3 linked regions of the Saccharomyces cerevisiae S288C genome follow. The main gene of each other region encodes a partner of the protein of the gene in region 2 in a complex. Each region holds a gene or a part of one and is shown on either strand. Other genes may lie near its edges. A codon is read from its position in the direction of its gene.

What was found.
Region 1: the proteins of HER2 (region 2) and PET112 are in contact, whole or in part, in a crystal structure (PDB 4N0H), measured with the Saccharomyces cerevisiae proteins. Residues at the interface, in NP_014021.1 of Saccharomyces cerevisiae: Val56 (codon at 1,879), Leu69 (codon at 1,840), Phe72 (codon at 1,831), Pro75 (codon at 1,822), Phe76 (codon at 1,819), Arg176 (codon at 1,519), Phe177 (codon at 1,516), Gly178 (codon at 1,513), Val179 (codon at 1,510), Ile180 (codon at 1,507), Gln184 (codon at 1,495), Ser185 (codon at 1,492), Met211 (codon at 1,414), Lys212 (codon at 1,411), Asp213 (codon at 1,408), Pro214 (codon at 1,405), Thr215 (codon at 1,402), Ala291 (codon at 1,174), Glu292 (codon at 1,171), Ser295 (codon at 1,162), Asn296 (codon at 1,159), Ser298 (codon at 1,153), Arg299 (codon at 1,150), Tyr300 (codon at 1,147), Arg304 (codon at 1,135), Tyr305 (codon at 1,132), Leu319 (codon at 1,090), Phe320 (codon at 1,087), Arg324 (codon at 1,075), Asn339 (codon at 1,030); in NP_009473.2 of Saccharomyces cerevisiae: Tyr66 (codon at 2,026), Ile69 (codon at 2,017), Ala70 (codon at 2,014), Leu71 (codon at 2,011), Pro72 (codon at 2,008), Gly73 (codon at 2,005), Thr74 (codon at 2,002), Gln75 (codon at 1,999), Pro76 (codon at 1,996), Val77 (codon at 1,993), Arg105 (codon at 1,909), His107 (codon at 1,903), Phe109 (codon at 1,897), Tyr110 (codon at 1,894), Gly111 (codon at 1,891), Pro114 (codon at 1,882), Gln115 (codon at 1,879), Gly116 (codon at 1,876), Tyr117 (codon at 1,873), Tyr123 (codon at 1,855), Leu177 (codon at 1,693), Asp297 (codon at 1,333), Arg299 (codon at 1,327), Tyr300 (codon at 1,324), Met301 (codon at 1,321), Pro302 (codon at 1,318), Pro304 (codon at 1,312), Glu305 (codon at 1,309), Pro307 (codon at 1,303).
Region 3: the proteins of HER2 (region 2) and GTF1 are in contact, whole or in part, in a crystal structure (PDB 4N0I), measured with the Saccharomyces cerevisiae proteins. Residues at the interface, in NP_014021.1 of Saccharomyces cerevisiae: Phe72 (codon at 1,831), Lys73 (codon at 1,828), Pro75 (codon at 1,822), Lys82 (codon at 1,801), Phe177 (codon at 1,516), Lys212 (codon at 1,411), Ile239 (codon at 1,330), Val240 (codon at 1,327), Lys241 (codon at 1,324), Glu242 (codon at 1,321), Phe243 (codon at 1,318), Ser244 (codon at 1,315), His245 (codon at 1,312), Glu246 (codon at 1,309), Tyr256 (codon at 1,279), Leu257 (codon at 1,276), Leu260 (codon at 1,267), Glu261 (codon at 1,264), Ile264 (codon at 1,255), Glu269 (codon at 1,240), Ile270 (codon at 1,237), Tyr271 (codon at 1,234), Pro272 (codon at 1,231), Val273 (codon at 1,228), Ser274 (codon at 1,225), Ile275 (codon at 1,222), Pro276 (codon at 1,219), Lys279 (codon at 1,210), Asn280 (codon at 1,207), Leu282 (codon at 1,201); in NP_011616.3 of Saccharomyces cerevisiae: Gly29 (codon at 1,025), Ala30 (codon at 1,022), Lys31 (codon at 1,019), Ile32 (codon at 1,016), Gly33 (codon at 1,013), Lys34 (codon at 1,010), Lys35 (codon at 1,007), Phe36 (codon at 1,004), Met39 (codon at 995), Ile42 (codon at 986), Arg43 (codon at 983), Tyr45 (codon at 977), Leu46 (codon at 974), Arg48 (codon at 968), Val50 (codon at 962), Trp51 (codon at 959), Ser52 (codon at 956), Val53 (codon at 953), His54 (codon at 950), Tyr56 (codon at 944), Leu57 (codon at 941), Ile59 (codon at 935), Lys76 (codon at 884), Leu77 (codon at 881), Leu78 (codon at 878), Arg79 (codon at 875), Leu80 (codon at 872), Ser81 (codon at 869), Gly82 (codon at 866), Leu83 (codon at 863).

What each region holds. Positions count from the first base shown.
Region 1 is NC_001134.8:72,475-76,747, forward strand, and holds PET112 (glutamyl-tRNA(Gln) amidotransferase subunit PET112), read right to left. Parts: upstream 2,222-4,273; coding exon 596-2,221; downstream 1-595. Other genes in the region: YBL081W (uncharacterized protein), read left to right, coding at 1-498; NUP170 (Nup170p), read left to right, coding at 2,785-4,273. UniProt on the Saccharomyces cerevisiae protein: Allows the formation of correctly charged Gln-tRNA(Gln) through the transamidation of misacylated Glu-tRNA(Gln) in the mitochondria. The reaction takes place in the presence of glutamine and ATP through an activated gamma-phospho-Glu-tRNA(Gln).
Region 2 is NC_001145.3:854,750-858,482, forward strand, and holds HER2 (glutamyl-tRNA(Gln) amidotransferase subunit HER2), read right to left. Parts: upstream 2,045-3,733; coding exon 650-2,044; downstream 1-649. Other genes in the region: GOT1 (Got1p), read left to right, coding at 46-67, 150-544; JNM1 (Jnm1p), read left to right, coding at 2,217-3,338; GSR1 (Gsr1p), read right to left, coding at 3,548-3,733.
Region 3 is NC_001139.9:694,027-697,126, forward strand, and holds GTF1 (glutamyl-tRNA(Gln) amidotransferase subunit F), read right to left. Parts: upstream 1,110-3,100; coding exon 558-1,109; downstream 1-557. Other genes in the region: rhomboid protease PCP1, read left to right, coding at 1-377; mRNA-binding ribosome synthesis protein NOP7, read left to right, coding at 1,391-3,100. UniProt on the Saccharomyces cerevisiae protein: Allows the formation of correctly charged Gln-tRNA(Gln) through the transamidation of misacylated Glu-tRNA(Gln) in the mitochondria. The reaction takes place in the presence of glutamine and ATP through an activated gamma-phospho-Glu-tRNA(Gln).

The sequences.
Region 1 (4,273 bases), on a different chromosome or scaffold from region 2:
TCTTCCACTTCTAACTCATCCTCTCCATACAACCAAAGCACCTTCGAATACATTTTGCCGTCAACTTCGGCAGCTTCCACAAATTTATCGTCGTCATCATCAAACAACTCTATGCACACCAACCCAACCACTGCAACATCGACATCCGCCGATTTAATCAATGATTTACCCGTGGGCCCCACGTCCAGTTCGCTTATCTCGGATCTACATTCTCCACCAACTGTATCTTTCCTACCAGCAAGCCAAACCCTGCTCATGTCCTCCACCACATCTAGCTCTATTGGCACCAACATAAACCCACCGCAACATTCACCATCCCCATCGCAAAGGGAGGATTTTTCGACGGCACCAGTGAACATGTCTTCGTCCGCATCACTCTTGATGAATGATTCTTCTTTAGGATGGGGGTCTAACCACATGAACGTATCTTCATCCTCTCAACCAGCATCATCAAGACCCTTTGGCATTTGGAATACTGACATGAGCGTTTGGAGTTGAGATGTTTACGTATATTTTTATGTATATTATTATCATTAGTATTACTATTATTGTTATTATTTATGCACGGTTCCTATTTACACGCGGCGTTTATATTTTACCATTGAATATTTAAGATCTCTTTGAATTTTTTCTCGAATTCGTTTGCCTTTATACGTCCCTGGCTTCGTCTCATTCCTTGTCCAATTAGGAATTTTAAAGAGGACTTCTTTTTACCAGTAACCAGGTTCCGTATAAAAGTGTCATCTGTGTGCTGTGCAATGACATCATTACAGAGATCCATCAATTCTTGAGGGTCGACCTGATTAATCGCATGCAATTCAAATTTCTCGATTAGTTTTGAAAAATCTGGAATAGACAAATCTTGGCAGTTACTCTGCTCGAAATTTTCCAATATGTGAAACAGTAACATTTTACCACTAGTTGCGGATATAACCTCTTCATGCAATAACTTCAAAAACTGGGCGAAAACCGGAGGAGGCAAAATTTCTTTTGCTTTGGCCAATGGAATTTGTAGCTTGTTCAAATCTCCCAAGAATTCATGGATTATCCAATTCGTAGGTAATTTCGCGTTACTACGTTCACCAGCAAGCTTGGAAAATTCACGGAAGGTGTCTAAGTAGTACGATCTCAACGCCTCATGATTGTACATATCGTTTTGGTTACTATTATAAGTCAGAATCTTGGCGTCCTTCAATGATAATTGATAGGGTTTCTTCATAAGAATTCTCATTATATCGTCCGGTAATTGGGGCATCAACCCTCTCACACCACTGATAACGTCTGGTGCGAGGTTGATATACGGCAATTCTGGATCAGGCATGTACCTGTAATCGATCGTGGTTTCTTTGCTTCTCAACTTCACCGTTGATGAGCCTGTCCAGCCCCTTGTTTCTGGCTCCATCAGTGAGCTAGTGTCACCCACAGAAATCAACTCAACTTGCCGCTGATATTCGTACTTGATTGCATTGATGATGGAACTAGTATTGGGTAAATTCTTCAACTCAACGCGTGCATATTCATTAATTGAGAGGTTAACGTCCACTCGCATGGCGCCCGTTTCCAGGTCCCCAGAGGAAATGTGCAAATGACGTACCAAATTCTGATATTTTTTAATAAACGCTCTAACCTGTTTAATATCACTGAAATCTGGTTTAGTTACCAATTCGATAAGCGGGACGTTCGACCTATTTAAATCAACCAAAGTAATAACGTCTTTATCTGTCTCTGTATAGTGTGACTTCCCCGTGTCCTGCTCTATCTGCAACTGTAAGATACCGATTTCCTTGGCTGATTCATCGATATCATCCAATTCCTTCGACAGATTGATCTTCCCACCCCGAGCAAACGGCCTGTAGTGCTGCGTCAGTTGATAGCCTTGAGGTTGATCTCCATAAAAATAATGCTTCCTATCAAACTGAGATATGCTATTCACTTGAGAACCCAGTGCCAAGGATAGTTTCATGGCAAACAAGATTGCTTCCAGATTCAAAACCGGCTGCGTTCCCGGTAGAGCTATGTCATAATAACTAGTATGATGGTTTGGTGCATCCACTAGAGATGTGGCGCTATTCGTTGATTGTGAAAAAAGCTTGTTTTTGGTGTTCAATTGCGTATGAATCTCCAATCCACACTTCAATGCATATTCCGGCCTGAAGGGTGCACCGTGACTATGTATGGCTTTGGTTCTGGCCAAAGAATAAAAACGTGCAAGCCGCAACATATCTAGTTCCTACTCTGGTCTTTTTGGACAGGAATGCTAACAATAACACTATTACTAGGTGGTACGACTAAGTACATCACGTCAAGCTTATTACTACTATAACTACTATTATCATAACAAAAGGGAAAACTAAACCCTATCTAAACAAGGGTTATTTAAATTTTTAACAAGGGCATACAACAAAAAAATAATAAACCTAAAATCAGAAAGTTAATCTTTCAGGGCTTTTGAAAGTGGAATTAACGTCTCTAGTAAACGAGGATTGTTTCCAATGAGATTCTAAGACCCAAATATCCTCTTCTTTACTTTGAAATGTTTGCAATGGACCATGATTATGGATGTGTTCTTTGTGACACGCTTTCAATGTACTCTATATCGTGTTGCACGAAGGATTGTTACTTTATTTGTAAAAAAAAAAACAATTTTTCGAGATGGGACATTAATATTGTAGAATTCTGAACATATTAGTGAACAGTTCTTTCGGAGAATTACTGGAACCTAGGATCTGACAAGCGGACAAAAAAGCAGAGTGCGTTTATTACTTCTCTTTCTAGCGGTTGTTCATGTTTCAAAGTTTTTTCCACAACAATGGGCCCGCTGCTGCCGGTGAAACGTTTTCAGATAGCAGATCGTACCCTTTAACGAATCATCAAGAAGTACCCAGGAATGGACTGAATGAGTTGGCCTCATCTGCAACCAAGGCGCAACAACAACCTACACACATATTAAACTCATATCCAATTACCGGGTCCAACCCACTCATGAGGGCAAGCGCAATGGGGGCGACCTCTGGCAGCATCAATCCTAATATGTCCAACATGAATGAGCACATTCGTGTTTCCGGGATGGGGACTTCTAAGCCCCTGGACTTAGCGGGAAAGTACATTGACCATCTACAACATAAAGATAGTAACACTCCCGTACTCGACGAACGATCTTATTATAACAGCGGGGTAGATTATAACTTCAGCAGAGAAAAAAACGGCTTAGGAGCGTTTACTCCATTTGAAAAGCAAGATGTGTTCAACATTCCGGACGAGATTTTGCATGAATTTTCCACTTCACAGACAAAAACTGATATGGGTATTTTCCCGGAGTTAAATCGATGTTGGATAACTATTGATAATAAACTGATACTCTGGAATATTAACAATGACAATGAGTATCAGGTGGTAGATGATATGAAGCATACCATTCAAAAAGTCGCCTTGGTAAGACCTAAGCCAAACACCTTTGTGCCTGCCGTGAAGCATCTACTTTTGATAAGCACGACAATGGAGCTTTTCATGTTTGCTATTTCCTTAGACAAAGCCACCAACGAACTCAGTGTATTCAATACACATCTATCAGTCCCTGTACAAGGCATTGATGTAATAGACATTGTGTCTCATGAAAGATCGGGTAGAATTTTCTTCGCAGGCCAAGCCAGTGGCCTGAATATCTGGGAGTTGCACTACTCAGGTTCCGATGACTGGTTCAATAGTAAATGTAGTAAGGTCTGTCTGACAAAGTCTGCCCTATTAAGTCTTCTACCTACTAACATGTTATCGCAGATTCCAGGTGTTGATTTTATTCAGGCTTTGTTCGAAGATAATTCTAACGGTAATGGCGGATTTTCTCAAGAGACCATCACGCAACTAACTATTGACCAACAAAGAGGAATCATCTATTCATTATCCTCCAAATCCACCATTAGAGCATACGTAATAACAGAAAAATCACTGGAAGGACCCATGTCAATTGAGCCTGCCTACATCAGTAGGATCATAGGTACCACGACGGCAAGGGCAGCACCGATTTTGGGCCCCAAATACCTAAAAATTGTCAAGATAAGCTCTGTTGCACCAGAAGAAAACAACAATTTGTTTTTAGTTGCTTTAACAGTAGGTGGTGTGCGTTTGTACTTTAATGGTTCCATGGGCAGATTTAACATCGAAGCTTTGAGGTTAGAATCGATCAAGTTCCCCCCTAGTTCTGTAACTCCTGAAGTCATCCAACAAGAATTACTACATCAACAACAGGAACAGGCGAAGAGAAGCTTTCCTTTCTTTT
Region 2 (3,733 bases):
ACAGTTCAGCCCAGTGATCATTTAGCTTACCCATCATCGCGTAAAATGTGGCTCACAGAGGCTCAAAGTATGTTTTTAATATTTTAGATGCTCTTTGCTTCTCCGAGAGACGTTAGTTCCTTTTTTACTAACAACTTACTTTTCACTAGAATTTGGTGTGGCCTTCACTTTCGGCGGTTTTCTCTTCTTTTTGTTTGGTATATTTACTTTTTTTGATCGTGCCCTATTGGCCTTGGGCAATATTTTGTTTTTAATTGGAGTATTCTTAATAATCGGTTCACAAAAGACATATATTTTTTTTACCAGGCCAAACAAAAGGCGCGGTTCACTATTTTTCCTAGTTGGTGCCTTCTTAATACTGTTGAAATGGACATTTTTGGGCTTTATAATTGAATCTCTAGGTATTATAGGTCTCTTTGGTGATTTTTTTGGCGTCATCGTACAATTTTTGAGATCAATGCCCATAATTGGTCCCATACTTTCTCACCCAGCAATCGCTCCAATAGTAGATAAATTAGCGGGAGTTAGGGTTCTGCCAGTATAATGGTAAAATTTTGTATGTGAATATCATAGATTAATTTTTTCGAACTTTCTATAGGTATAAAGTAAAAATAATAATATTTACATGATTAACGTTGTCCTCACAAATTTATGATATTGACTCGACAAAATCTAACACAGTGGAATCATCACCATATTGACCTACTACCTGTAAGCCAATCGGGGTCTTCTCTTTTAAAGGCATTGATAAACTTGGTAGTCCAGCCAATGACATTGGGACAGTAAAGACATCGTTTATATACGAGTTAGCCGGAGATTTGGCTTCCTCTTCTTCGAAGTCCCTTATGGATCCAGGAAGCTTGGACGATGTGGGAACTATCAGTAGATCTAGGCCGTCTGGATTTCCCTTAGAATTAGTTAAAACATTTGGAAATCTGAAGATCCCGTCAAATTCATCGATCAAATTAACTCGTAGCTTTTCTGCCTTAATAAAATTGTTCTTAAATGCATCTGAACAAAGATTATAATTACCTAGAATGATTCTATTCTTAACTTCTGTTCCGAATTTGGACCTAGTAGGTGCGAATAAAATACCGTCTTTTATATCGAGTTCTGAATCTCTGTATCCATATCTGATACCATCATACCTTGATAAATTGGAAGCCGCTTCAGCGGGTGATAGCGTATAATAAATCGGTAAACAGTTTTTTACAGATGGAATGGATACAGGGTATATTTCAAGCCCTAAATTTATCAGCTTTTCTAGTAAGGATAAATATAATCTGTGGAACCCAATGGGCATACTTTCATGGCTAAATTCCTTTACAATTCCTACCTTTAAAGGTCTCCTAACCTTTTTATTCCCTTCTATCAATTCACGCAATTCCACACTTAAGGAAGTGGGATCTTTCATGTCATATTTATCGAGCGTATGAAATACTTTTCGCAAGACGTTTATCTTTTTGCTAAGTATGCCAACAGTGTCTAAAGATTGAGAATACGCTATTACGCCAAATCTTGACAACCGTCCATAGGACGGCTTGAATCCTAAAACAGATCCATAGCATGCGGGGAGCCTAACGGAGCCACCAGTATCTGTTCCCAAGGCAAAATCGACTAGATCGCAAGCAACGCTTGCAGCGGCTCCAGACGATGAACCTCCCATGATCTTCTTGTCCTCATGAGGATATAAAGGGTTAATTACGGGCCCTCTTATTGAATGTACTCCCCCAGAACCCATTCCAAATTCATCTAAATTTGTCTTGCCTAAGATATGCACTCCTGCCTGTTTTAATAGTTTCACTACTGTTGCATCGAAGGGAGACTTGAAATTCTCAAGTATATGTGAGGCACATGTGGTTGGAAAATCTTTTGTAACTATATTATCCTTGATACTGGCAACGCAACCTGTCAATGTTTCTTTTGTACCTTTTTTATTTGTGATTGAATAAGGAGATGGATTGATACTAGTGAAAATATTATATTTTGATTGAAAACTAGATAATCTTTCGATTGATTCTTTTAAGGAGCGTTTCAGTGGCATTTTTGTATAATCAAAGTTAGGACTCCAATTGAGGGGCCATCTTTCCAGCACAAATAATAGTGTTTACAAGTATAGATGTACTATTACTTTTTTGGGAGCCAATGCATTTCAAAAAAAAAAAGAAGAGCAGATAAGTCATGAGGCTAAGAAAGATAAAGAAATCTACTGGTTGATGAACGTCATAGATTTAAGTGATCCTGCCATCAATGTGGATTATGATAGCTTGATTGGCATTGACAATGAGGAATCTCAAGAAATTTTTGAAAATGAAGTGAAGGAAGATGGACAACAAGAAGAGCAGGAAGAAGCATCTTCAAGAAAAGATGGGCTCATCGTTGAACCAGGGAGAGATGTTGAGAGTTTGAGAAGGGCTATTCGAGATCAGTTGCTTTTCAAGATACATAGACAAAACCAATCAGACTGTGCAGATGCGAGAAAGTTGAGTAACGATGAAGAAGATGAAAGTCGGCAACAGAAATTAGAAAGAATAAGAGAAGAATTGGAGGAGTTGAAAATAGAAAATTTAACATCTGAAATGCAAACTGAAATCAAGGAATTGTGCGAAATTCAATCAAAATTGGCGACGGAATCATCTAGTAGATTGACAAATTTGAGGAAGAAGCTTCTCGAAACATATGAAGGCCAAGATACCGTCATATTGCCAAACATAATTCTTGATACGAGTAATATCAAAAGATTGCAAAAGTTAGATCAGAAAATATCCCTAATGGAACGTTTTGTTGGCATACCAGAAGCTTTGGAGGCAGAAGAAGATAGGAAATCGGTTCATAGTAAAGTCAATGAACTATATAGAAGTATTCAACTTTTACAAGGCGATGATAAGGCGGAAGGAAAGCTGCAAAAGTTCCGGGATAGACTCGTAGAACTGAACGAGGAATTTGAAAACTCATTGTTAGGCAAGAAAATACAACAGGACTTGAGGTTGAAAGATGACACCGTGAGCAAGCTTGTTATGCCCGAAAACAAAGTAAAGGAGATAAATAGTATGTATTCCATGTTCAAGCAATATCAAGATTCACTACCACTGTTGGCGGAGAGGATGAAAAGTCTCAATAAAATGAACAACAGGGTGATCGAGGTGTACGAAACCACGAAAGGGCTGGATTCACAAATAACCAGCATCCAAGAACAAGGAAAAGTTTGGCTAAAGGCTTTAAATGAGCTGGATAAAAAATTCGATGAACAAGAGGTTAAAATTCGCGAAAATATGGAGCAGATCAGGCGTAAAATTGATACCCTCGAAGACGAAGCTCTACAGAGAAATAGCAAATAAAAGGCGGAGAAATAATTTTATAAACCAATTTAATTTCATTCTTCATTTTTTCGTCTCCATATGACAAAAAAATTGAAAATATGTGTGTGTATGTATATATAATAATAGTAATAATAACAATATGAAATATGAAATATCCAAAATAAGAGCGGAAAACAGAAATTATCATAAAAAAGAAAAAAATAAAGTCTCTAAAGGGTATCAAGCGCTTATTTCTTCTTCATTCTACCAAACAATCCCTTCTTCTTCTTCTTTTGCTTTTCCTCAGTCTGTACGTGTTGTTGTGGCTGATACACTGCTTGTTCACCATACATTTGACTGGAAGCACCACCCACTTGCTGTGGCATACCGTTCGCATCGTAAGTCACAGCAGCACCAAACACAGGGAAATCAGG
Region 3 (3,100 bases), on a different chromosome or scaffold from region 2:
TTTTCTCCTTATATATGAATAGTGCCATTGCAGGTTCTTTGTTTTCGTTATGGTATCCAAAACTGGCACGCCTAGCCATTGTCGGACCTAGCTTGGGTGCCAGTGGAGCGCTATTTGGGGTTTTAGGATGTTTTTCATATCTATTCCCACACGCTAAAATTTTGCTGTTTGTTTTCCCAGTCCCAGGTGGGGCTTGGGTAGCATTCTTGGCTTCAGTGGCATGGAATGCAGCTGGTTGTGCTTTAAGATGGGGGTCATTTGATTACGCTGCGCATTTAGGTGGCTCTATGATGGGGGTCTTGTACGGATGGTATATAAGTAAAGCTGTAGAGAAACAAAGGCAGCGTCGCCTTCAGGCTGCTGGTAGGTGGTTTTAATCACTTAAAAAAAGACACATTCTCATTCGAAATATTGTAAATACTGCTATGTCTTCTATGTACTTAATCTTATTTATGCATTTGAAAAATATTTCAGCCTTATCGTGGTGGTACATGTACAAGAAAATTCATAGGCAAAAGAATATATAGAATAGAGCGTATGTGTTACTTTTCTAAGTCTTACTTCCTGTTTTTGAGTAGTCCCTCTTTGACAACAAAATATGCATTTTTGGATTCCGCGGCAAGTCCAGTTGCTTTCCAAGATCCGCTAACTTCTCCTAGCTCAGCATCCTGCTTTTGGTGGCTGATGCCTTCAAGTAGCTTTGTGTAGTTCAGCTGTTTCGTATTTCTTTGCACCAACCGAGCATCATATTCCTTGGTGTGCTTTTCACCTTCGACAGGTATGTTATGGAGTTTGTTGATGAATGATAATTGCTTGGCAAGTCGCATTTGAATTTCTTTAATATCTGCTCCTTCCAAGGGAAGACCTGATAACCGCAACAATTTTTTTACAGCTTCAGCAGACGGTGGCTCTAGTTTTTCCTCTTTAGTGTTTATGCCTAAATATTCGTGGACGGACCATACAGGTCTTGATAAATAATCCCTTATTTGATTCATATTTTCAAATTTTTTACCAATCTTTGCCCCTCCCGTAGATACGAACCGATGACTTCCATCATGGCATAACCCACCCACTGTATGTGTTCTGCATAGACGCCATGTTTTGTACATCGTTCTAGCACTATGGGTAAGTGCAAATAGTTCGATCTAAAAGCCTAAATGCTAGTCACTATTACCTCCTTGATGTTATATTTACAGAATAATGTCATGTCGTCTGTGGTGACTATTATTATTGCCTGAAAAAATTAAAGAAAATTTTTTGCGATGAGATGAGATGAGAAAAAATGAAAAATTTTGGAAGGTTAATTAGAGATGTGTAGTAAATCCTGCTGGTGGAATACATTTTATTCCTGTAGAAAATAGTATAGTAACAGCGGTATCCTACTTATACAATGAGAATCAAGAAGAAAAACACCAGAGGTAACGCAAGAAACTTTATTACCAGATCTCAAGCTGTGAGAAAATTACAGGTTTCTCTTGCTGATTTCAGAAGATTATGTATATTCAAAGGTATCTATCCTAGAGAGCCAAGAAATAAAAAGAAGGCAAACAAGGGCTCTACTGCACCAACTACTTTTTACTATGCTAAGGATATTCAATATCTAATGCATGAGCCCGTTTTGGCTAAATTTAGAGAACACAAGACTTTTGCTAGGAAACTAACAAGGGCTTTGGGTAGGGGAGAAGTCTCTTCTGCTAAAAGGTTAGAGGAAAACAGAGATAGTTATACTTTAGACCATATTATCAAGGAGCGTTATCCAAGTTTCCCAGATGCTATAAGGGATATTGATGATGCTTTGAATATGTTATTTCTTTTCTCTAATTTGCCCTCTACCAACCAGGTTTCCTCGAAAATTATCAATGATGCTCAGAAAATCTGTAATCAATGGTTAGCCTATGTTGCCAAGGAACGCTTGGTTCGTAAAGTGTTTGTATCCATTAAAGGTGTTTATTATCAAGCCAATATTAAGGGTGAAGAAGTTAGATGGTTAGTTCCATTCAAGTTTCCAGAAAACATCCCCAGTGACGTTGATTTCAGAATTATGTTGACCTTCTTAGAATTCTACTCGACTCTATTGCATTTCGTCCTATATAAGTTATACACCGATAGTGGGTTGATTTATCCGCCAAAATTGGATCTTAAAAAGGATAAAATCATAAGTGGTTTGTCATCATATATTCTAGAATCCAGACAAGAAGACAGCCTACTAAAACTTGACCCAACTGAGATTGAGGAAGACGTAAAAGTTGAAAGTTTGGACGCATCGACATTAAAGTCTGCCTTGAATGCCGATGAGGCAAATACTGATGAAACAGAAAAGGAGGAAGAACAAGAAAAGAAACAAGAAAAGGAACAAGAAAAGGAACAAAATGAGGAAACGGAACTAGATACTTTCGAGGATAACAATAAGAACAAGGGTGACATCTTAATACAGCCAAGTAAGTACGATTCTCCTGTTGCTTCTTTGTTTTCTGCATTTGTTTTTTACGTTAGCAGAGAAGTTCCGATCGATATTCTTGAGTTCTTGATCTTATCTTGTGGTGGTAATGTCATCAGTGAAGCTGCTATGGACCAAATTGAAAATAAGAAGGATATTGACATGTCCAAGGTCACTCATCAAATTGTTGACAGGCCAGTTTTGAAAAACAAGGTAGCTGGCAGAACGTATATTCAGCCACAGTGGATATTTGATTGTATCAATAAAGGCGAATTGGTACCTGCCAACAAATATCTTCCAGGGGAGGCTCTTCCACCTCACTTAAGCCCATGGGGTGATGCTATTGGTTACGATCCAACTGCTCCTGTCGAAGAAGGCGAAGAAGAAGAAAGTGAAAGTGAAAGTGAAAGTGAAGATCAAGTTGAGGAGGAAGATCAAGAAGTTGTTGCTGGAGAAGAAGATGATGACGATGACGAAGAGCTACAAGCTCAAAAAGAGCTTGAATTGGAAGCACAAGGTATCAAATATTCTGAAACTTCAGAAGCTGATAAGGATGTCAATAAGTCAAAGAACAAAAAGAGAAAGGTGGATGAAGAAGAAGAAGAAAAGAAATTGAAAATGATAATGATGAGTAACAAACAAAAGAAACTTTACAAAAAAATG